Saccharomyces cerevisiae S288C: one gene and its partners. Changing the gene in region 2 together with the main gene of any one other region gives a genetic interaction. Each region holds a gene or a part of one and is shown on either strand. Other genes may lie near its edges.

What was found.
Region 1: mutations in RIM20 (region 2) and PMP3 together harm fitness more than expected from each alone (negative genetic interaction), as found in Saccharomyces cerevisiae (3 studies listed by BioGRID, with this or other methods).
Region 3: mutations in RIM20 (region 2) and CDC11 together harm fitness more than expected from each alone (negative genetic interaction), as found in Saccharomyces cerevisiae (3 studies listed by BioGRID).
Region 4: mutations in RIM20 (region 2) and RAV1 together harm fitness more than expected from each alone (negative genetic interaction), as found in Saccharomyces cerevisiae (3 studies listed by BioGRID, with this or other methods).

What each region holds. Positions count from the first base shown.
Region 1 is NC_001136.10:1,011,852-1,016,141, forward strand, and holds PMP3 (Pmp3p), read right to left. Parts: upstream 1,793-4,290; coding exon 1,625-1,792; downstream 1-1,624. Other genes in the region: YDR274C (uncharacterized protein), read right to left, coding at 1-109; triglyceride-associated lipolysis regulator TLD1, read left to right, coding at 401-1,108; MTH1 (Mth1p), read right to left, coding at 2,550-3,851. UniProt on the Saccharomyces cerevisiae protein: Plays a role in the regulation of membrane potential. Could mediate a proton leak.
Region 2 is NC_001147.6:836,473-842,858, forward strand, and holds RIM20 (Rim20p), read right to left. Parts: upstream 4,598-6,386; coding exon 2,612-4,597; downstream 1-2,611. Other genes in the region: MOD5 (tRNA dimethylallyltransferase), read left to right, coding at 1,202-2,488; CAF20 (Caf20p), read left to right, coding at 4,861-5,346; uroporphyrinogen-III synthase HEM4, read left to right, coding at 6,345-6,386. UniProt on the Saccharomyces cerevisiae protein: Required for the proteolytic cleavage of the transcriptional repressor RIM101 in response to alkaline ambient pH, which is necessary for sporulation and invasive growth.
Region 3 is NC_001142.9:574,854-578,684, forward strand, and holds CDC11 (septin CDC11), read right to left. Parts: upstream 1,749-3,831; coding exon 501-1,748; downstream 1-500. Other genes in the region: HOC1 (alpha-1,6-mannosyltransferase), read left to right, coding at 1-318; MIR1 (Mir1p), read right to left, coding at 2,402-3,337. UniProt on the Saccharomyces cerevisiae protein: Septins are GTPases involved in cytokinesis that assemble early in the cell cycle as a patch at the incipient bud site and form a ring approximate 15 minutes before bud emergence, which transforms into an hour-glass shaped collar of cortical filaments that spans both sides of the mother-bud neck.
Region 4 is NC_001142.9:490,823-499,395, reverse strand, and holds RAV1 (Rav1p), read left to right. Parts: upstream 1-2,944; coding exon 2,945-7,018; downstream 7,019-8,573. Other genes in the region: DNA-dependent ATPase RAD26, read right to left, coding at 1-2,041; PET191 (Pet191p), read right to left, coding at 2,387-2,713; peptidylprolyl isomerase CPR7, read right to left, coding at 7,134-8,315. UniProt on the Saccharomyces cerevisiae protein: Component of the RAVE complex, which is required for stable assembly of the vacuolar ATPase complex V-ATPase under many conditions.

The DNA of each region.
Region 1 (4,290 bases), on a different chromosome or scaffold from region 2:
TGGCTGCATGGAAGGTCATCGTACGGGTACGGGCAGTCTGGCTGAGTGGTGCCGCCAAAGTGCAATAGCTGTCAGTAGGGCGTGAGGAATGTAAAAGGCAAGAAAACATGTACGAGGGAAGAGAAGGGGGCAAAAGAAAGATAATAGGAACGGTGTAGATGAACTAGAAAAGGTTCAAGAGATGATAAACGTGAAGGGAGTGTCATATCTACCGACATAAAGATAGAGATCTTTTTTTTTCCTTTATTTTTTTTTTTGATTTTTTTTTTTGATTTTCTTGATATTAGTTTTTAGAAGTCCTTTGACGGGGCAGCCGGAGAATATATACCAACGGCATTCTATTGTCTTTTTTTCTTCCTTCCTTGCCAGGCATCTGCATCCATTATTGCCTTTAGTTACAATGTTTTTTTTCCCGAAGCTTAGAAAACTTATAGGTTCAACTGTGATCGATCACGATACCAAGAACTCATCAGGAAAGGAAGAGATCATGTCAAATAGCCGATTAGCACTTGTTATTATCAACCACGCCTTTGATAAGGTACTATCTTTGACGTGGCACTGCGGGATATTATCCGAAATAAGATCAGGACTGATGTTAATGTTTGGCATTTTCCAGTTGATGTGCTCTTTGGGTGTCATCGTATTGCTGTTGCCTATTATCATACTGGACGCGATCGATCTATTCCTCTACATGTGCAGGTTGCTTGATTACGGTTGCAAGTTATTCCACTACAATAGATCATCATTACCGGTGGCAGATGGAAAAGAAAAGACCAGTGGTCCCATAAGCGGAAAGGAGGAAATAGTTATTGATGAGGAGATAATTAATATGCTAAATGAATCCTCAGAATCATTGATCAATCATACTACAGCTGGTCTGGAATATGATATTAGTTCAGGTAGTGTTAACAAAAGTAGGCGTTTGAATTCAACTAGTACAGTTACATTTGTGAAGCAGAATAAACTTGTTAATGAAAGGAGGGAAGACGCCTACTACGAGGAAGAGGATGATGATTTCCTATCAAATCCGAATTATGATAAGATATCATTGATCGAAAAATCATTCACGAGTCGTTTTGAAGTGGCTTGTGAGCAGAAAGCTGCTTAAATTGATAATCAAGGTCAAGGCAACGCAACGCCACTGCTAAGAACACTTATTGCTACAGAAAGGAAACTAAAAATAATTATAAGGCTAGAGAGAAATAAAAACAAAATAAGAGAGATAATATGGGTAAGGGTCTGCCACCCATCTGATAAAAGGCTGTTCTATCTTTTGGAACTCTACAACACAGGTAAACGGATGATACTGGCTATATTTATATAGATAAACAAACTTGCAGGACAGATAGTTAAGCGTCTATATCATGTGTATTTTAAGCGAAGAAAAAAGTACAAAAATGATAAAAGGCAAAAAAGATGAGAAGTTTTTTTTGTGATAAAATTAATTATTAAAAAATACACACGTAGTTAAAATTAACAGCGGGGGAGGAAACCTTAAGAGAAAGAGAAACAAAAAAAAAGAAAGGAAACAAATAAAAATGAGGGTGACCCGAACATGTTGATACCGTTTCCTAATACTGCTTCCTTATTTCATTTGATAGTTACTTTCGTTTATTGAATGAGCTTAATCTTGTAGGACAATGTACAAGGCATATAGCATACCTGGGAACCAAGCCAAAATGGTCAAAATGATATCCACTATACAGTCAGTACCCCACCCACGGGCTAGAAAAACGGCGACTGGTGGTAAGAAAAGGGATAATATAATGTTAATGATCTTGGCAGAATCCATTGTTGTATTGTGCTGTGCTGTTTAGTTCAAAATGTATAATCAATTGTATTATACTGGCGAAAAACAACAACCGATAGTAAATTTTCTTCTTTTTTTCCTTTCCCTCTTCCAAAACAAAAACACTCACTTCCTCTTTTGTATTTATAGAGGCGCCCATCGCAAAATAACCAGGACCCCCTTTTGAGGGCGTGGTTAAAGGGCACCCAGAGCCCACACCCATTGCATCTTCCGCTATTAGGGGACTGCGGAAGTGAGGGGAGCAGTAAATAGTGATCTTTGTAATTTTCTGCAAAATCCCTCTCGCTGTCTCGGGTTTTTCGATTCAGAGGACCTTCCCCCCCCCATGTTCCGAGATCGGTTTTGGTGGTTAGAAGGCCGGAGGAAAGACATTTACCGCTTGCGCGCGGCTTCTTCTGTATGCTGTGCTCAACTACCAAGAGAAGGATTACGCGCACGGATACGTTGGATGTCTGCGATTGGTGATGCTAAGAACTAAAGGTATTTCGTCATCGTATGGTTTGATCTTCGCTACCCTTGACTCTTTACTGCGATAACGGTACCACGTTCCCATAAAATTCTTATTACTAAATCTCTATAAAGCTGCAACAGCTAGTTTGTATATATAAATCATTGGCGCTTCTTCCTCAATTCCTTGGGAATTTGGAGCTCCTCTATTAAAACTGATGTCCATGGGATAGTATTGATACAATCGAAGAGTCTCCAAAAAAACCATCGGGAAGGTTTCTTTTTAGTATCTTCAGGATACTGAATCCGGCTGCCAATCCAATCCTAATCTTTGGTAAACTTGTGCCTGACATTGCGACCATATCGTAGCCTTTTCTTCTTTAGATAAGCTGACTTTGTTTTTTCCCTGTTGATTTGTTGCGGCGCTTGATCTCATCATCAATTCATCAAGGTTATTATTGGGGTTTTTCAACTGAATGTTCTTCAATAAAGCCTTTTTCAGAAGCGATTTTGTTTCTGTGCTGTTTTTCCGCGGTATTATGCTTGGTGGGGGCATGTCCGGTCTTTTTAAGTTGGACTGTTGTAACTTCCATTTCTTATATTCGGAGCATCTTTGTTTGAAATCAAACCTGCATTGTGCCTCTACTGCTATATTTAAGAGGTAATTTTCGATGATATTTCTCCATTCCGGTTTCGACAAATTCATGACGGCTTCATTTCTACCAGTTATATGCTCATGTCTTTTTCTAGCGGTCGCTACTGTATATTTGGCGCTGGTTAGTTTGAATTCATAATCTAAGTTAGCCTCCATGTACAGATCCGAATGGACTAACGTTGCGATTATGGTCTCATCGCTAGAATATAGTGGTAATAATTGTAACCTAAACTGGGGCATATTATCACCCACCGTTATTACTTCCGGTAGTTGATTACCCCATTCGGGCCTTAACTTCTCGACTATCAATAACGATCTTATATCGTTTAAATCCCAATCCAATAACTCTCTCTTGGTAAACTTGGGACGCCCGTTACAGAGAATGTTGGATGGGTCTGCTAATAGAATATCTGGCGAATACATGTCATAAAACGTTTTGGGTAATGCTTCATCCAGGCTCACTCTCGTGATTAACTTGTGGTTAGGAAATTCGGAGAACGAAGAGTCATTAGTTAGTTGCGTGTGCACAGTAGAGGGGGCAGAAAATATACTTGATTGATAAGACGAGGCATTATCCGAAAGTAAACTCCCACTTTCAGCCACGCTTGATCTCCTGCTCGCTGAATGCATACTGCTTGAATGATGTGACCTTCTGCTAGGTGAGGAGGCCAATAATCTTTTTTTAATCTCATCTCTAGCTCTATCAGTGTACTCCGGAGGAGCATTCACAAAGTTCTCTCTTCTCGAAGAAGTCGTGGATTGAGAGCTACTCATTGATAGTGGCAAACTTTGAAAAGAAGCATTATCACTGCCACTCATCGTGTTTTCCGGAATGGCCTGTAGGGAGCTTGCAAACCCATGATTACTGTTAGTCGATTCTAATGGACGTCGTTGTAAAACTTGGTTTTTCGAAGTTGCTGGTGGTGGTGAAACAAACATTCCTTTGAGTGTGTGTACTCTATGCGTTCGAATAAAATTCTCTTTGTATTGCTGCTTGTGGTTTCGCTATTGAGAACTTTCAATATACGTTAAAAAATACTTGGAGTGAAATGAACAAATCTTTTTGTATGTTTCCTTAAGTTATTAAAAAACTCCATGCTGTTTTTTAATAAAAAAAGAAGCAGTTACAGGCGCATTACAAAGTTTGAGAAGAAAGGAAAAATGTCATTTGGTTATATAAATTTTTTTTCTTAATGGAGATTGAGGCAGCAATAAAATGTGGGATGAAAAAAAAAAAAAAAGGCACTTGAATAAGGGGTAGAATGGCAGATATTCCATGTCTACGGTAGTTTCACTGGAGAAATGGACTCGTATTTTCTCTCACGATGAATTTTTCCACAAAATTATAAGATGAGGAAATGTGTGGGGCAGTCATCCT
Region 2 (6,386 bases):
TTGTGTGTGTATGTGTGTGTATAAGATGGTATCTTTATTCTGTAATTTTCAGGAAAGTGATGACTAGAAAATCGATGTGTCAGGTACAACAAATTGACAACCTATAACTTTCCATACAGGCGAATATATATATACACATAAACACATTCAAGCCTCCGGTACCGTTTGCTCTGACAAGGACAATTAGCATGTAAGCACGAGTGCGGGTATGCAATCATTTCAGTGTTTCCTTCATTTGGCATAGTGTCGTAACACGGATTTAAGGTGAGCCGTCAGGGGCTTTTAAGCGGAGCCCCTGCAGCTTCATGAAGACGGAACCGCACGGGCCTATTACCTCGGGGATAGATCAATTATCCGAAGCGGGTCACAACCCGGAAATAATAACCACTATGCCCGACCGTACCGACGTGGCACTATTTTTGGGATCCGTGGAAGTCGGCCATTAGTGGTAATCGGCGAAAACAAGTTTATTGCAGCTAAAGCACGCCATACGGTTGATATAAACAGCAATTAGGCACTTTTTCTCTTATTATTCATATGCCTTATTGGCTTGTGGCTTGTGGCTTGTAGCCTATGCAAATGCATTTGCTGATAGCAGCATAAGAAAGTTGGGAAGAAACGCTAACTGTACTTTTTATATCCAGAGTTCATTAGTTGATCTTTTACCCCAATAATTTCTTCCACTTGCGGCCTGCTTCTTCGCATTTCTCCCATTCCGGGCCGCGACTCCGTAGTTCTTACAGAAACAGCCGCCTCCATAACCATCTATGATAGGAAAAAGATGGACAAACAGGAAAAGAGCTAGGGAGTATAACCTGATTCCTGACATGTATAGGATTCGGGTAATTTTGAAATACGAAGCTCTTTGCATTCCGAGACCGGTTTAGGAAGATTTATTTACATATCTACTTGCGCTATTGTGGTCATGCCTTCGAAAGATAAAGAGCGAATTTTGCTCGTATAAGCTAAAATCAGGTAAAAGTTCCTTATGTTGCTGCTCCTCGATGGCAACGTCGATCTAAGATCTTGATTACTGAATCAGGCGAAAGCACACGTTCATCTTTCGCTCATCGGAAAGAAAATTAAAACAGAAAAAAATTCTAAAATGGCAAAAAAGAAGAAAAGCTCAGTGAGGGCTGTATAGTTTATTAGATAAGCTACTATACGTACATATCTTTTGTAAATAGAACCAAAAATCTTCATGCTAAAGGGACCGCTTAAAGGTTGCTTAAATATGTCTAAAAAAGTTATAGTGATTGCTGGTACAACAGGAGTAGGAAAGTCTCAGTTGTCCATACAATTGGCACAAAAATTTAATGGCGAAGTTATCAATTCGGATTCTATGCAGGTATATAAAGATATTCCTATTATAACAAATAAACATCCGCTTCAAGAAAGAGAGGGCATTCCTCACCATGTAATGAATCACGTAGATTGGTCAGAAGAATACTATTCCCATCGTTTTGAAACTGAATGCATGAACGCTATTGAAGATATTCACCGGAGGGGTAAGATACCCATCGTTGTTGGGGGTACTCATTATTATTTGCAGACTCTTTTCAATAAGCGGGTCGATACGAAATCATCCGAACGTAAGCTCACAAGGAAGCAGCTCGATATTTTGGAATCGACTGACCCTGATGTGATTTATAACACACTTGTGAAGTGTGATCCTGATATAGCTACCAAATACCATCCTAATGACTACAGGAGGGTACAACGAATGTTGGAAATCTACTATAAGACGGGCAAAAAACCAAGCGAGACATTTAACGAACAAAAAATAACTTTGAAGTTTGATACCCTATTTTTATGGCTATACAGTAAGCCGGAGCCACTTTTCCAAAGGCTTGACGATCGTGTAGACGACATGCTAGAAAGAGGCGCCTTGCAAGAAATCAAGCAATTATATGAATATTACAGTCAAAATAAATTTACGCCGGAGCAATGCGAGAATGGTGTTTGGCAAGTTATTGGCTTCAAAGAATTCTTACCGTGGCTAACCGGGAAAACTGATGACAACACAGTAAAATTGGAGGATTGTATAGAAAGAATGAAAACGAGAACACGTCAATACGCAAAAAGGCAGGTAAAATGGATCAAGAAAATGCTGATACCTGACATCAAAGGCGATATATACTTACTGGATGCCACTGACCTTTCTCAATGGGACACGAATGCATCTCAAAGAGCGATAGCTATTTCCAATGACTTTATTAGCAATCGACCCATCAAGCAAGAAAGGGCACCTAAAGCCCTAGAGGAGCTGTTGTCTAAAGGCGAAACTACGATGAAGAAATTGGACGATTGGACACATTATACTTGCAACGTCTGTCGTAACGCAGATGGTAAGAACGTTGTAGCTATTGGCGAAAAATATTGGAAAATTCATTTGGGTAGCAGAAGACATAAATCCAACTTGAAAAGAAACACTCGTCAAGCTGATTTTGAAAAATGGAAAATAAACAAGAAGGAGACTGTGGAATGAAAATATTAGGAAAAAGGAGTTTATCCTGAGTGTATATATCTACATAAGTGAAGCTGGGTTTTGATAATGGAAAGGGAGGATGACAAGCTCAAAATATACTTTATAGATGAATGAGGACAGGTATCATTGGTCTTCAAATGTCAAACTCTTATCAAGCCTAGCTTTTTCTGCTCTTCTTGCTGTATCATATTCCTGTACCTCATTGTACAGATTGCTGGTAGAAGTAATTAAATTTTCGTAAAATGCTGTGCCGGCACTTAAATTTTCTTTCACCTCATCAAGCAGTTTGAAGGAATATCTCAGATCTTCAATATATAGCTCTCTGGGATCTATTCTTACCATTTTCTTTGGTTCAATCCCGCTTCTGCCGGGGTTATTCTTCTTACTTAGGTTTACTTCCTCAATAAGTTTGATATTTTCTTCCTTTGTACTATTAACGTATCTTAAATCTTCGTCAAAGTATTTTAAATGGCCTATGAAAATGGGTTCAAAGTCGACTGTTCCATTTTTTTTATACGATGTAATGATCTTTGGAAGTATTCTATATTCTGAAGATTTCCGCCTCGTCCTATCAATATAATCATTTCTTTCCTGTATGATCATCTTAATCTTATTCGTTAGAGGATCATTAGATTCCGGTAACCTGATCTCTGATCCAATCAAATTTTTATCGATGCTTTGAAATAGTTCATTTGTTTGTTTGTCAATCGCACTACCTTCATCAAGGTATCCTCTCAGCTTTTTTAGTTTTTCATAATATGCTGTGTTAGTAGTTGAAGATTCGGGTAAAGTCCAATTTAAGGTTCCGTGTTTTAGTCGGAGCTGATTGTCAGTAAATGCTTCTTCATTTAAAATTTGCTCAATGTTATCGAGTTGTACCTGCACATTTTTATTATTAATGAGAAGATTATTCAGTGATGCCTGGTAATGACTCAGTTCTGCTTCACTCACCTTTGTAAGCCCTTGTGGTATTTGGAAAGTAGTCAAGGACTCCTTCAATAGTTTATTTAGGGAAGCAAGGGGATTGGTAACACGTTGTTCAACGTATTCATCTTGCCTTTCATTGTATGCTGTGCAATATTCCATCACTTCTATAGGGATTAGGTCTTTGAATAAAGTCTCATCCTTTTTAATAGAAGGCAACAATGTTGCTGAAGAAGATGGTTTAACCATGAGAGCTGGTTTGATCGATGGTAATTCCGAAGGAACTTCTTGTAAGTAGATGAATTCATTGTCTCTTTGGGCTTCTTTCAGAGAAGATTCGACAACAGTTTTAAACTTAGCTTGCGAAGATAGTGTTGATTCATTTATAAATTGCAATCCCATTTGCAGAGCTTTCACAACATTTCCGAACTGCTTCTTCTCATTAAAAGATAAGGCTATTCTGTAATAAGTCACCGCACTAAAGTAAGCCTTTTTAGCCTTTAAGTGGTTTATCCAATCACTTCTAATAAGTTTCCCCCTTTGGGCGTCATTAATAGCCTCGCAGTAGAAGTCCACGATCTGTTGTGACAACTTCGCGATTAAGGAGTCCTTGTGTTTATCTTGCACGGCTTTAAACCAGAAGCATTCTTGCGCTTGTGCTAGCATCAGGGAGGTTAAAGCGTTCAATGTGGCGTCATCTACCACTGGGATTGTCTCAAGATTTTTTTGGTGGTCTAAAACATGTTTAAAGCATCCGGCGGCATTCTGGAAGTACAGACATGACGTTTTGAGGGATTCGGCTGCATCATTGTTGCTATTTAGAGCCAACAGTGAATACATGCAACCAATATTATAAATAATGGTTAATTTTTCCCATTGTAATGAGTATTGACTAGTACCACGAGATTTTTGTGATAGCGTTTGAAACCATGTAAATTCTATTTGATTATTGGGAAACTTTTTCTCTAATTGCAACAATATTACATAGTATTCCTTCAGTGCAGAAAGACCGTCGATTGAGATATCGGGTGCAATCGCATTGTTTCTTGCATCAACAACTTTGAGTATGTCTGATTGGAAAAAGGATGCCGTTTGAAAGGAAGTAGTATCAATTAGTTTTGACAACTCCGTGGCAAAGTCCACTTCTAAAGTTCGCTTAAGTGGAATGGCAAGCAGTTCACTCATGTCACACTGCCTGGATCTCCATAGATAATAATACTCTCTCTGCAAGGGTATAGTAGTGTTTTAATAAGGCTTTATAGTCCCTTTTCTTATGCTATATTATAAAGCCGGGTAGTAGCGAGGCTTGAATATCTCTTTTCCTGGACGAAAAATAGTGAAAAATTGGAAAAAGTATTTGGCGTAAAGCATATTCTACCGATTGCGATAGACATTATTTGAGCTGTAACCTGAATATAGGATTAAGAACTTTTATTTAATTTCACGACATGATCAAGTATACTATCGATGAGCTTTTTCAACTGAAGCCAAGTTTAACTTTGGAAGTTAATTTCGATGCGGTGGAATTTAGAGCCATCATTGAAAAAGTTAAGCAATTGCAACACTTGAAAGAGGAAGAGTTTAACAGTCATCATGTTGGTCATTTCGGTCGTAGAAGATCTTCCCACCATCATGGTAGACCAAAGATTAAGCACAACAAGCCTAAGGTTACAACCGATTCAGATGGTTGGTGCACATTTGAAGCCAAGAAGAAGGGTAGTGGAGAAGATGATGAAGAAGAAACAGAAACCACACCAACTTCTACTGTGCCAGTTGCTACCATTGCCCAAGAAACTTTAAAAGTCAAGCCAAATAACAAAAATATTTCTTCCAACAGACCTGCTGATACCAGAGATATTGTTGCGGACAAGCCAATTCTTGGTTTCAACGCATTTGCTGCTTTGGAAAGTGAAGACGAAGACGACGAAGCATAAGTCATTCGCTCATGCTTTCTTCAGGCAGCTGTACGTGTACTATGTATAAATTTTGAATAACATTTTTTTTAATAAACAGTTTTTACTCTTTTAGGTTACTTTCCAGATTGAAAATATACAACGTGGTTACATAAAGAAATTAAAATGTAGAACGAATCATGACCAACTGTATCAGGTGTTTAAAAAGGCGAGGTGAAAGAGAAAGGCTTCCCCCTCTAATATCAACAGCTGGAGATACATCTTTCTAATAATTAATCTACCATGAGCCGTACGCACTGAAGCAACGCCCATCAAACATCCGAAGCCACATTATGAGTACAAAAGAGGCTGACGTTAATAGGAACTCATGGTGTAATTTTGCTTCACTTTTCTGAATTCAAATGGAAATAGAAGTAAAAATGGGCAGAAAAGTTACCTCATGCTTTAAATATACTCAACTTTTCTCTACCGACAGTAGGAGCCCTAAGAGATAAAGCGAAAAATTTTCACAGCGCGCTCCTTGGTGCGGCGAGGGTATAAAAGGCGATTTCATTTCAATTCTTTGAACTTACTTCATTTGCAGGATCCTTCAGGATAAGAAAACCATCATTCAATAAACTGATCTTCCGGATTACCATGCTTAAGACATCACGCCTCCATATGTCTATATAAAGCGCAAATGGCTGGAAGTAGACCAATTTTTTTTGTTCCTAGCTTTTCATTATTGAAATCTAATCCAGTTTTAATGGTTTTTCTTAATTAAGAAAACAAATTATCATTGGTTCGCTCTAGGTGTACATATCTTCACTTCATTACTCTCTTGTTTACATTGTATACATCGTACATATACTTCAATTATGGAAATACCATAAATTCTCTTAGTGTGTAGTTCACTAGTTTTTGGGGTTGGGTTGTGCTGTAGTCAGCTAAGGCGCTTTAGTGAACTTTCTAGTGAGTTTTTTGAATTTTAGTGTCAAAGGATAAGGAAACAGAAAGGTAAAATAGACCTTGCTCGAGAGATGTCTAGTCGTAAAAAAGTCAGAGTATTACTGCTCAAGAAT
Region 3 (3,831 bases), on a different chromosome or scaffold from region 2:
AAGAGGGACGACCAACTAAACGTCAATCTAAGGAATGATCTGAATATTATGAGTTGGACGGGTTCTGGGTTGTGGACTGACACTATTTTCACGTATTTCAATGACTTTATGAGAAGTGGTGTCAGGGAGAAGGTTACATGGAAATTATTCCATAACCTAAATCAACCAAAATTGCTAAGTGATGTTCTGGTCTTTCCAAAATTCTCCTTTAACTGTCCAAACCAAATCGATAATGACGATCCACACAAGAAATTCTATTTCATTACTCATTTGGCATCACAATTTTGGAAAAATACTCCAAAGGTGGAGCAGAAATAAGTACTTCTACGCAGATATAATAAGGAACTTTTTTGTTAATTTTTTTTTGCTGATCGATATTAATACTTTTTAAGAATGAAGAAAAAAAAAAAATAATATACCAGATGTATTTACTTATATACAACACTCACTCTTTATATATATAGAGAAAGAAGAAATAAGTGAGGAAGCCAAAAGCGGACTCATTCTTCCTGTTTGATTTTCGCCTCTTTTTCCAACCTGGCTTCAATTTCTCTTAATTCCTTTTCTCTTTGCAACAGTTCTTGTCTTTTCAACAGCAGTTCTTGCTGAACTCTCTCCTCAAATGCCTTTAGTCGCTCTTCTTCTAACCGTATTTGCTCCTCACGTGTCATGTAGGTTTCGTTATTTTCGCCAGTGCTTTGCCCGTGCATATCGGATGCTGGGTTGAGAACATCGTTATTAATATTATTACTTTGCTTGAAGGGATTTGTGTTTCTCCTTGTTGTGGTGGACGATGACGACGAACCATTCAATTTTGTCAGATTTGGACGTATGGATTCTGCCGCGACAGATTCACCTGATAATGCCTCGGTTCTATATCTTTCATATAATATCTCATGTGTGTAGTTTTTCAAGTCATGTAAATGAGAGATCAATAACGCATTCCTTAAGATAACAAAATCAGAGATCGATGAATCTTCCACGTCCAGTATGCCCCATGGATACTTTCTGCCACGAATTGTCCCAACATCGCCGCCCATTTCGTAAACTTCATTGGATCCAATAATAGCAAAAGGTAGAAGTGTACGTAGGTACATATTGGTTTCGTAATCTTCGTCTGATATTTCATCTTCATCGAAAGGGAAATTATAAATTGGCAAGTTCCATCTGTCGATATCCTCCATGATCAATTTTTTATTCAGTTTCAGTTCATCTCTTGTCAAGGAATCTGATTTGCTGATCACAGGGATGATGTTAACTAAGGATCCCAACTGTCTGATGAATTCCACATCAATCTCTTTTAAACCGTGGCCAGTTGGGTTGATTAAGTAAAGACAACAATGAACTCTGCCGTCCTTAAATCTTGGGTTTCTTCTCACACGACTTTCTTCCAATAAGATTTCATCATATTGGTGGCGAATGTAGTCGGAAATGATTTCGAAAGATGGAGAATTGTCGAGAGAATCACCGAATCCCGGAGTATCGATGATATTAAGTTGAATCTTGACACCTTCATCATCTTCTAATTCGACCGTCTCCTCTCTCAATTGTAAGTCTATTTCTGTGGACGTATCTGTGGGTAACAAGATTGTCGTCGAAGTGTCTACAACTTGCTGACCGCACAAAGTATTTATAAAAGTCGATCTACCAGATCCGGACTGGCCCACGATCATCACAGTGAAGGTTATACCTCTTTTCAAATGCTTTCTTTTTCTTAATGCAGAAGATGCGTCAATTATTCCGGACATGGCTGGTGGTTAGCAACTTTAGGCCTTGTGATGATTGACTTTCTAAACGGCTCCAGATCGGGTCGCCAATACGTGGTGTCTACCTATTTTACTTTTCGATCAAATACTTTTTTGTTTATTTTTCTTTATGTTAGAAGGCGGAAAAATAAAGAATACTGGCGATCCTGCATGGTCGGGTAACGACCCACGAGCATTGTGTTGTGTAAATATAGCCATATTTAAGCTATATTTATCTGTATAACATATACGTGTCCGTATGTGCCCGACCAAATATGTTACTGCGATGAAATGGATTGAGAACGATGTTTAAATGTTATGTTCCATGTTGTGTTTTCCACCAAAAAACCGTGAAGGACAATTCAATGAGCAAAGGGTTTAACGGAGCTATAACCTGCTTTTGTAGATGAAAAAATAGAAAATTCAAATATATATATATATATATATTTATAATAGCATGTTAATTTACAGATATTTGGACTTTTGCAAAGTCAGTAAATACATGGAATAAGAATACTAGTGATTGAATAGAGTACATTTAAACAGATTTATTTATTTCTTTCCTTTGTTGACTCTTTCTTAGAATATGAAAAAAAAAAGGGGCTCCGGTGGTGATGAGGAGAGAATATATATGCATGTATCAATCAAGACCATTTCTAATGACCACCACCACCAATTTCAATGGTTGGTGGGCAACCCAAAGTGCTCTTTAAAGAACCATAAATACCAAATTGCAAGGAGGTCAAGGTACCAACCATGACCAAACGAGTAGGCAACCCAGCAAAGGAACCGAAAAATCCTAACTGTTTGGCCAACTGAGCCAACAAACCGACTGTGGATTGGCCAGGAGCCTTCTTAGTCTTGTTGACCTTGGACAACAGAGTGTCTGCTGGCTGGGAAACAATGGCAGCGGCCAAACCAGCAGTCAAACCGGAAAGCAAATTCAACAAAGTAGTGGAAGTAGAGGACAATTTTTCTTTTGGACCGGCGAACCCGTAGTAGAACTCGGAGGCACGTTCAAAGACCAAGAATTTAGCAATGTTGTAAGGAATTTGCTTGAACAAAATTGGAGTGAACCCACTGTAGAAAGAGCCGATACCTTCTTCTTTCAAAATTCTGGAAAACCCTCCGACGAGTCCATTAGCGAACTGTGGTTGGGAGACCAATCTGATTCTAGTGGCTTCTAGGGGACACAAGGCAATGTCTGCCAAGAATTCGGCCATGGCAGCAGAACCCATGTAAACAGAGTTCTTGTAGCGAGAGGCGGTATCGTAACCCAAGTTGTCAATGAAGAACTTCTTGAACACTTCGTAACCACCGAACTTGAAGGCACCTTGGATAGAGTAACCCAACAAAGTAGGACCAAACCCGGTCAACAACGCACCAGCACCTTCTCCGGCGATGATTTGCTTGAAAGAGCCGACCATACCCTTGTTGTACACGGTAGGTTCCAGTTGGATTCTCGTCTTAACGACATCGATCGGGACCATACTGGAGTGAGTCGACCCGCACCCTATGGCGCCGGCTAGGGCGAATTTCATGTAGTCAGAGACAGAGTACTGTGGAATAGCAGGAGCAGCAGACACAGACATGGTGAGATGAGACTTTTTGATCTTTGTAGTTCTTCTTCTTGCAGATCACTCTGTTCTTTGCGATGGTTCTTGTAGATAAAAAGATCGGGAGGATGGATCGCACTTAAAAATCTTCTCGAAACGGGCCGCGGCCGGGCATGGGACCCGTTCTCGACGCTGATTGGCTAACGATGGTTGGGCAGAGTCTCAGCTGCTGCTTGCTCACATTCGACAAAAGACTAGAGGAAAGCAGTACCATGCTGCGATACTGTTGCATCGCAGCATTCCGCTGTCCAAAAACAATACCTGTTGTATTGTTTGAGGCTGGCAGGCGCTTGGGTAGAAACAACACCCGATACTGGTGACAGGGCTATCTATAAATATTAAAACTTGACTCCGCAATTCGTCGTAAACTGCCTTAACCATCGTAATGGACGCCGTGCAAATGCTTCGACTTTTCCCAGTAGTCAGGCATTGCGCCAGACACTTGTGCTGCTTAATTGTCGTAATGAAAA
Region 4 (8,573 bases), on a different chromosome or scaffold from region 2:
CGAGCATTTGTCTCGATTGAGTGAAGAGTAGGGCTTTATAGCCCTGCTTATGCCACAGTAATAATAATTGCTTGACAACCTGCATTTTTCCGGATCTTTTAGGATCACCGTAATCTGGATTATGTCTCTTTGTATCTCTGTCAAGTAAATCGGGGTGATTACATATTTTCCTTAGAATGTCGATACCAAATAGAACATTTCTCTTACCGTTTTGTATTTGGTTTAAATCTGAAGAATGCAGAAACTCCAAATATTTGCTTCTTTGATATTTCGTAAGCTTACAAAAGAGAACCATTTCTTTCTTTTGTGGCAGATCTTTTGCAACATCAGCTTTCACACGACGTAACAGGTACGGTGAAATCAAGTCACGCAATGCAACAGCACATTTGTAGCCGGTCTGAACTTGTATGTTTGTTGCGTTTGCATAACCACCAATATTTATAGGTATGACAAACTGTTGTTGAAACACAGGTAGAGTTCCTAATTTACCAGGGAAAATGAAATCAAAAAGCGACCAAAGCTCGGTTAAATTATTCTGTATCGGTGTTCCTGAAAGAATGATCCTATTATGTGTCTTCAGTTTTTTGCAAGTCAATGAAATCTCCGAATCTGGGTTTCTAATCTTATGTCCCTCATCTAAAACAGCATACTGCCATTTAACTTTTAGTAGCTTATCTGAATGTATTCTTAACCCAACGTACGTGGTAATTAAAATGTGCCCATCAGTAACGACTTTATCTATCAACTTATCTAAATGATAGCTTGATTCCAATGCCTTCTTTGTCCTTGTTGAGTTCTTCCAATCCTCGTAAGAAAAATCACTTGGCTTTGAATTCATTATCAAGTTCTCTAGATCGTTTTCATCCATCTTAAATTTTTGGTCAGAAGCCATTCCTGAACCCATTGAGTGCAATATGACCGTCCTCAATGGAGGCCACCAATGCTGGAACTCATTACACCATTGCTTCATCACAGTTGCAGGACAGACAATTAATACAGGGCCTGTTAATAGACCTGAATGATGCAACGCTGCGATAAATGCGATAACTTGAATCGTTTTTCCCAGACCCATTTCGTCACCAATAATACCGCCACAGTTCTGCTGGTAAAGCTCATAGAGCCACTGAACGCACGTCTTTTGGTAATTAAATAACAGCGAGTATATTTCACCGGGTATTTTGAACTGGCTATTAAGTTTTGCGTCGGGAATATTCGGATGAGGTCTTCGCCATTCTGGCAAGTCCGATGACCTTTGACTACCGCAAGAACGTTGTTTCACCCATTTTTTTAACCTTTCTTGATAATACAACTCGTCCCCATCATCCTTCGCCTCACCAGGTTGGCCTCTGAACCGCAGGTCTTCCAGTTCTTTGAGAATTTTATCGTCATTTTCTTCTTCTTCGTCATCTTCACTCTCTTTACCACTCATTTGATAGTCTTGATCGCTGAGATTGTCATCCTCATCCGTTAAATTTTCTACCATTTGTTCTGTTGCCATTTCAAAATCCTCATCTTTTTGTTCGTCATTCTTGGCATACTCTCTGTTTGCAGTGTCCAAGCTGAAACCAGCCTTGTGTCCAAATGCAGTGATCTTACCAGTCCTGATTAAAAACTCCTTCTCAGTTTCACCGGGTCTCTGCAGCCCCTCTTTGGAACCTTTATTTTCAGCACCTTGATCTACCTGCTCTTTCAACTCTTTAATCCTTGATTGGATATCGTCTATGTCCTTCAGAACTCGTTCAATATCGTCTGATTGTAAGTTCTTGATCTGGTCTCGGAGATTCTGCTTAACAGATATCCTAGTGGTATTGTTCAACTTCCTTGTGAGATGATTCTTCTTATTGACATAACGTTGCAGAGCGGTCTTACTCCGTTCTAGACGAGTCTCTTCTTGCTGCAGCGATTGTAGGTTGCTAAAGTTAGTTACATCATTAGCTATTTTTTCCTCCAAACTGCTTTGGGAAAGCACGTTAACTCCCAGATCTTTTAGTGACTCATTGTTTTCAAGTTTCGCATTGTCTTGCTGCTCTTTATCTTCCATCACTGATGTATGTTTCTCTGAGCAATGTTATATATATATATATATATATATTATCAAACCTCTTCCCTTCTTTTTTTTTCTTCCACTTTTATTGCATCGCCCTTAACTGAAATGAAGCTAAGGTATAAATTTGTACTTAGACTGATTATAATTTCTACTTACGGAACTTGTTAAGTGCATTTTTATTGTTCTACCCTCTATTTTTTAAATGTAATGTTCTTGAATACGCTACATGCGTATATATATATATATATATTGTAAGAGGATTACTGGACAAACCGAATAAAAGAGCTTGACGCATATATTTATTTATGTATATATTTACAGGCCAATTTTCATAAATAATCAGTCCTTCTGCTGGCTGTTCAGAAGTTTTAGCTTTTCCATCTCCTCCCTCGGATCAAACTTTCCTTTGCACAAGTTTTCGTACTGTTGATCGTACTTGCCAGTCGACAGAGGTGCGTTACCTGTGAACCGCTTAGTCATGTCGACGATTCCTCGCTTACAATCCAAAAATGCTTTCATCTGAGCAATACAAAGTTCGGGCAGATCCTTATTCAGCTCTGGATTGTCAAGACATTCTTGAGGGTTATGTCTCTCTATCATGACACAGGGCGATCTCTGCAAACATATAGCGACAGCCTTCTTCTGATCTTTACAACTAGCTACCATTCTTTGATATCTACAAACGCACTGCAAATTTATTTGTGTCTATTCTGTTCCGATTAATTGTTATGGCAGCCTTTTAATATACTATCCCTCTTTCTTTAAAGCTGCCCGCATAGCGAAACCTCGTTATGTTATTGTTTCAAGCACTTCAGTTTTTTTAATAATTAAAGGGATCTAAGAACACCGCAAACAATTGAGAAAGTAAACAAACGTGCACACGCAAAGGTAGTTCTCATGTCATTGAACTTTCTTCCAGGACGCCCCAATGCTACCCCTCAGACAGCTTGTCAAGCAACATGGCAAAATCATACCATCTTTGCATATTGTTCAGGGAATAATTTAATCATACTTACCAACAAATTCACTAGGTTACAGACCATATATACACAATCAGACTGTACTGCGGTCGATATTAACAGCCAGAATGGATTCATTGCCCTTTCCTTCCACAATAGGGTGCTCATCTACAAGCCCATTCATCAAATTATGCAGAATCCCAAGTGGACCCAATGTTGCCAGTTGTTCCATGATGACACGCCAGTAAACTGCCTAAGATGGTCTTCTGATAATGAGTTAGCCATTGGATCTGATTTTCTTTCTTTTTGGAAAATTAAGGATAATTTTGGTGTGTATCAACCTATTTTGCAGTGGAACCAAAAACAGCCTAAACCTGTTTATAATGTGATTATATCACAAGATTCGCAGCTGATAGTCAGTATTGGGAAGTACGACTGTAATGCTAAACTATGGAAGCGTGTTTCAATAGTCGGAGAACAAGCCATCTTTAACCTTACTATGTTGCCTCATCCGAAACCTATAACTGCAATGCGGTGGAAAAAAGAGCCAGACCAGGTGAGTAAAAACAACACTGCCTCTCATGCTCTTTATACGCTGTGTGAAGATAAAGTTCTGAGAATATGGTCTTGTTTTGAAATGGAGAAAAACCATACTGTGCAAATATGGGGTGAAGTGCCTCTTTCCCCCACGCAGAAGTTCTGCGTGATAATAGACAATTGGATCATTAGGCAAACTCTCAGTGTGAAAGACTCGGAAATCTTTGATATATCTGACTCAGACATTGTTATTCTGGGTTCAATGACTGGGGAAATGGAAGTTTTGGCTTTGAATAATCTTTCCCAAGATCCTCCAAAACCAATGACTAAAAAGACCATTTCCCATAAAAAAGTCAAGAAAGCAACTATGCTAAACGATACAAGATATTTGTACCTCCCCGAAATACAACCCTATGACAATGTGAAGGGCAAACTTTCTTTTCTCGTCCACGATTTACAAGGTGTAATCAGACATTTACTAATCGACATTCTGCAGCTTATAAACAATAAAACCGAAGATCTGAGTGCCGCTTTAGAGCACAAATTTACGGGACATAACAAATCTGTGCAGAAGTTGGTAAGAAGCAGCGACGGCGAAGCTTTATTAACCACTTCGAGATTCTCAGAAAATGGCGTTTGGTACCCACAAAAGTTAAACCATGGGGTTTCACTGCGGTTACAAAATACAATACAAACAGAATCTCCCATAAAATTTGCAGTTGTACATGAGTTGGGTAAACAGGTCATCTGTCTTCTCGAAAATGGGGCTTTACAAGCCTGGGAATGTCCAACGAATCGTAAGGAGGACAGTGAACAGAAGCAATCATATTTACGTGTGGAAACGAGACTGAAAGAGGAGAAAAAAATCCATCCAATAGTTATGTTAAATACACCTGAGCCAAAGCATAGTCATGAGCGTCATTTCACCGCGTTAATATTCTCTGATGGTTCAATCAAAGCTTTTGAAGTCTCTTTAACACGTGGTATTTTTGAAGTAAAGTCTGATTCATTAGATATCGATGGTGACGACATATACAAGATCTCCATTATTGACCCTGTACATCAAACTTTTGTGAGTAACAGGCCTTTGATTTCTTTGATTACTAAAAAAGGTCTTACCAGAACGTATAAAGCCATCGTTAATTATAATGATAGGCATGTCCAATGGATCAAGGCATGTGAAATTAACACCGGAATAATGAATTGTACATGTATTAGAGGATCATCTACAGGTAAGTTATGTATTGTTAATTCTACTGGTAAAGTAATGTCACTATGGGACCTGAACAGGGGAGTTCTTGAATACGAAGAAACATTTCATAATCCTATCGAGGATATAGATTGGACAAGCACGGAATATGGCCAAAGCATTGTCTCTATCGGATTTACAGGATACGCTTTACTTTATACTCAATTAAGGTATGATTACACGAACAACACACCTAGTTACCTACCTATTGAAAAAATTGATATCACAGCACATACAGCTCATAATATAGGTGACTCCGTATGGATGAAAAATGGCACGTTTGTTGTTGCTTCCGGAAATCAATTTTACATCAAGGATAAATCTCTGGATTTGACTGATCCATTTACGTACCAATCAATTGGTTCAAGAAAAATTTTATCAAATGATATTCTCCATTTAAGTAGTGTTTTAAATGGTCCACTTCCAGTTTATCATCCACAATTTTTGATTCAAGCCATTTATGCGAATAAGTTACAACTTGTCAAGGAGCTGTTATTAAGATTGTTTTTAGCGTTAAGAAAATTAGACTTTGAATCGCAAGATGTATCTAATTTGGATTCCAATCTAGGAATGGATCCATTAAAGTACTTTATTGCTAAAGATAGAGACTATCCGGTCGAATCTTTCCCTGATCCATACCCCTGTTTCAATAAGACAGTGTCTCTAGCACTTACTGAGCAACTAACGAAAACAACTTTGCCTTATCTAACCCGCCACCAGCAGATCACGCTTATCACAGTCATTGAAGCAGTGGATGAAGTCACCAAAAATGAGAATATAGTAGATTACAACGGTGTTAGGTTCTTGTTGGGCGTGAAGTTATTTTTATCACATAAAAATATTCAAAAAAGCATATTGATGAGGGATGTGTCTTGGGCATTGCACTCAGACAATAAAGAAATATTATTATCTTCTATTGACCGCCACATAACCTCATGGAATCGCGCTCGAGAATATAGAATAGCCTATTGGATTAAGGAGCAGGACTTGGTGAAGAAATTCGAGGATATTGCAAAATATGAATTTTCCAAAGATGATAAGAGGGATCCAAGCCGTTGTGCTATTTTTTATCTTGCGTTGAAGAAAAAACAGATACTATTGAGCTTGTGGAAGATGGCTATTGGTCATCCTGAGCAGCAAAAGATGGTTAGATTTATCAGTAATGATTTCACTGTACCGAGGTGGAGAACGGCAGCACTCAAAAATGCTTTTGTTCTGCTAAGTAAGCATAGATATATGGATGCAGCAGTTTTCTTTCTCTTAACTGACTCTCTAAAAGATTGTGTCAACGTTCTTTGCAAGCAAGTGCATGATATGGATTTGGCAATCGGTGTATGTCGTGTTTATGAAGGTGATAATGGACCCGTGTTGGGAGAGCTATTGACAGCGCAAATGCTACCTGAAACAATAAAGGAGAATGATAGATGGAAAGCAAGTTTCATTTACTGGAAATTGAGAAAGCAGGAAGTGGCTATTAAAGCTTTGCTGACTGCTCCGATTGATTTAGAAAACAACTCAAGCATTGTTGATAAGGAAGTCTGTGTTAACAGATCATTCCTTGTTGAAGACCCTGCTTTGCTCTATCTATACAATCACCTGAGAAACAGAAACTTGAAGTATTTCATTGGATCTCTAAATGTTGAAGCAAAAATCGAGTGTACTCTGATCTTAAGAGTTACTGATATTCTTTGCCGAATGGGTTGCAATTACCTGGCGGTTTCACTTGTGAAGAATTGGAAGTTCATCGAAAGAAATTCCATACCAGTTCAGAAGCTATTAAAGAGCCCCACCAAGGATAGAGCATATTCTGCTATTGGCGCCATGGCGTCTGAACCAATTTCTACTGCTAGGATGAGGCCCAGTCTTTTTGATAAGTTTGGCTCGCCAAGTGCTTCAGATATAGAGTCACCTAATCCAAAGTTACCAAATAGCTTATTAGACGACTTCTTGCAACCACCACCAAATAGCACTTCTTCAAATTCCCTCGCTCAAAGTTCTTCTTCTGCACCTAGAAGTATACTGGATGAGTTCGTCTCTCCTTCATATTCTCAGCATAAAGAGAATTTAACTCCAAAAGCGCCAAACGACTCTGTGGGTGAAACAGACAACTCAGAAAATAGGAAAGATAAACTCTCTAAGGACATATTAGATGATCTTTCATCACAAAAGCCACAGAAGCCAAAAAAATCTGCTATTACCAAGAACTTACTAGATGACTTTGTATGATATCATATTTTTTATCAAATAAATGGATTTATAAATAAAAATAATTACATCTTATTAATGTAGTGTTTTCATATTGGGTTATTTAATCTCAAATTTCAGCCTTACAAGTAACTAATTAGGAGAAAAACTTTGATATATTCTTTCTTGTCTTTTCCTTATTCTCTTCTATGAGCCTATTGACATATTCTATTCTTTGTTCTATAACTTCGTCATCGGGATTTTTCTCTTTACAAAAAATATAATCTTGTAAAGCTTCGTCTAGTCTCTTTTTTTTTAAGTAACTGTTACCTCTTCTATAATAAGCCTTTGCTTGATCTCTGTTAGGAACGTTATCCATCTCCAATAAATACGTAGCATACATGATAGCATCATCGTATCTTTCCAGATTAAAGAGCACCAAAGATAAATTTAGGTAAATTTTCATCTTTAGGTTAATAAATTGGATGTTTCTTTCTTTGTCTACGTCGGGTTCAGGCATGTATTCATTGATATAATTTAAAGATTTTCTGTATTTGAAAAAGGCATTAGAGTAATCCTTTTTCTTAAATAAGAGCGTCCCAGATTCTTTGATTATATTAGCAGCCTCAAGAGCCTTACCAAAATCATCGTCACCGAAATGTGTATCATCGTCTGGATATTCTTCGTATACGTCACCGCCAATTTGGTCATTAGAAGCGTTGTAAAGCGGGACACCCATAGTTTTTTCCCACACTCCACAGTCGCTGATTCTAACGTCTGATTCAGGGACTCCATCAGAATCTACCCTGCAGTTTTCTATAGTGCGAACCACTGATTTTCCATGAACCACCTGCCCAAAAATAGAATGCTTGCCGTTCAAATGAGGTGCGGCGTATGTAGTTATGAAAAACTGGGAATTGTTCGTATTTGGAGAACCTAAATTGGCCATACCTAAGGTAAAGGGTTCTACAAACTCTCCCAAGTTTTCGTCTTCAAAATTCCCGTAACAGAAAGATTCATCATCGGTTTTCACTTCCTCTTTATCAGCGTAAATTGAACATCCACCTTTTCCAACAGACGATGAAGAGGAATCCTTTTGTGTCCCAAAGACAATGTCACCTGCCTGGATCATAAAATTCTTAACGACTCTATGAAAACCATTTCCCTTATAGCTCAGGTACTGTTGATCCTTCAAAGGACTCTTAACATCACCAGCGCATAACTTATAAAAATTCTCTGTTGTTTTAGGAGCCTTCTCACGAAAAAGTTTGCAGACAATACGACCAATTGGTTTTTTATCAATGGAGATGTCTAAATATACAAGGGGATCTTGAATCATCGCGTTGGATGTAGGTTGTTGCTGCCGAACACCTTTCAGAATAACGACTTTTTTTTTCTTTGCAGTTTCTCATTTTTATGATTTTCTAATCACTTCATCACTCAGCGCATTGGAAAAAAAACAATATATAGATCTCTTTGTTTACATGTTGGAACTAAGACCTTTTAATATGGATACTTTACACAGAGAATTGAACCATCTTAGTTAAGTTAATTCGCAACTTTGGTAAGAAGCGCCCAGGTTTAACTAATACGGCTT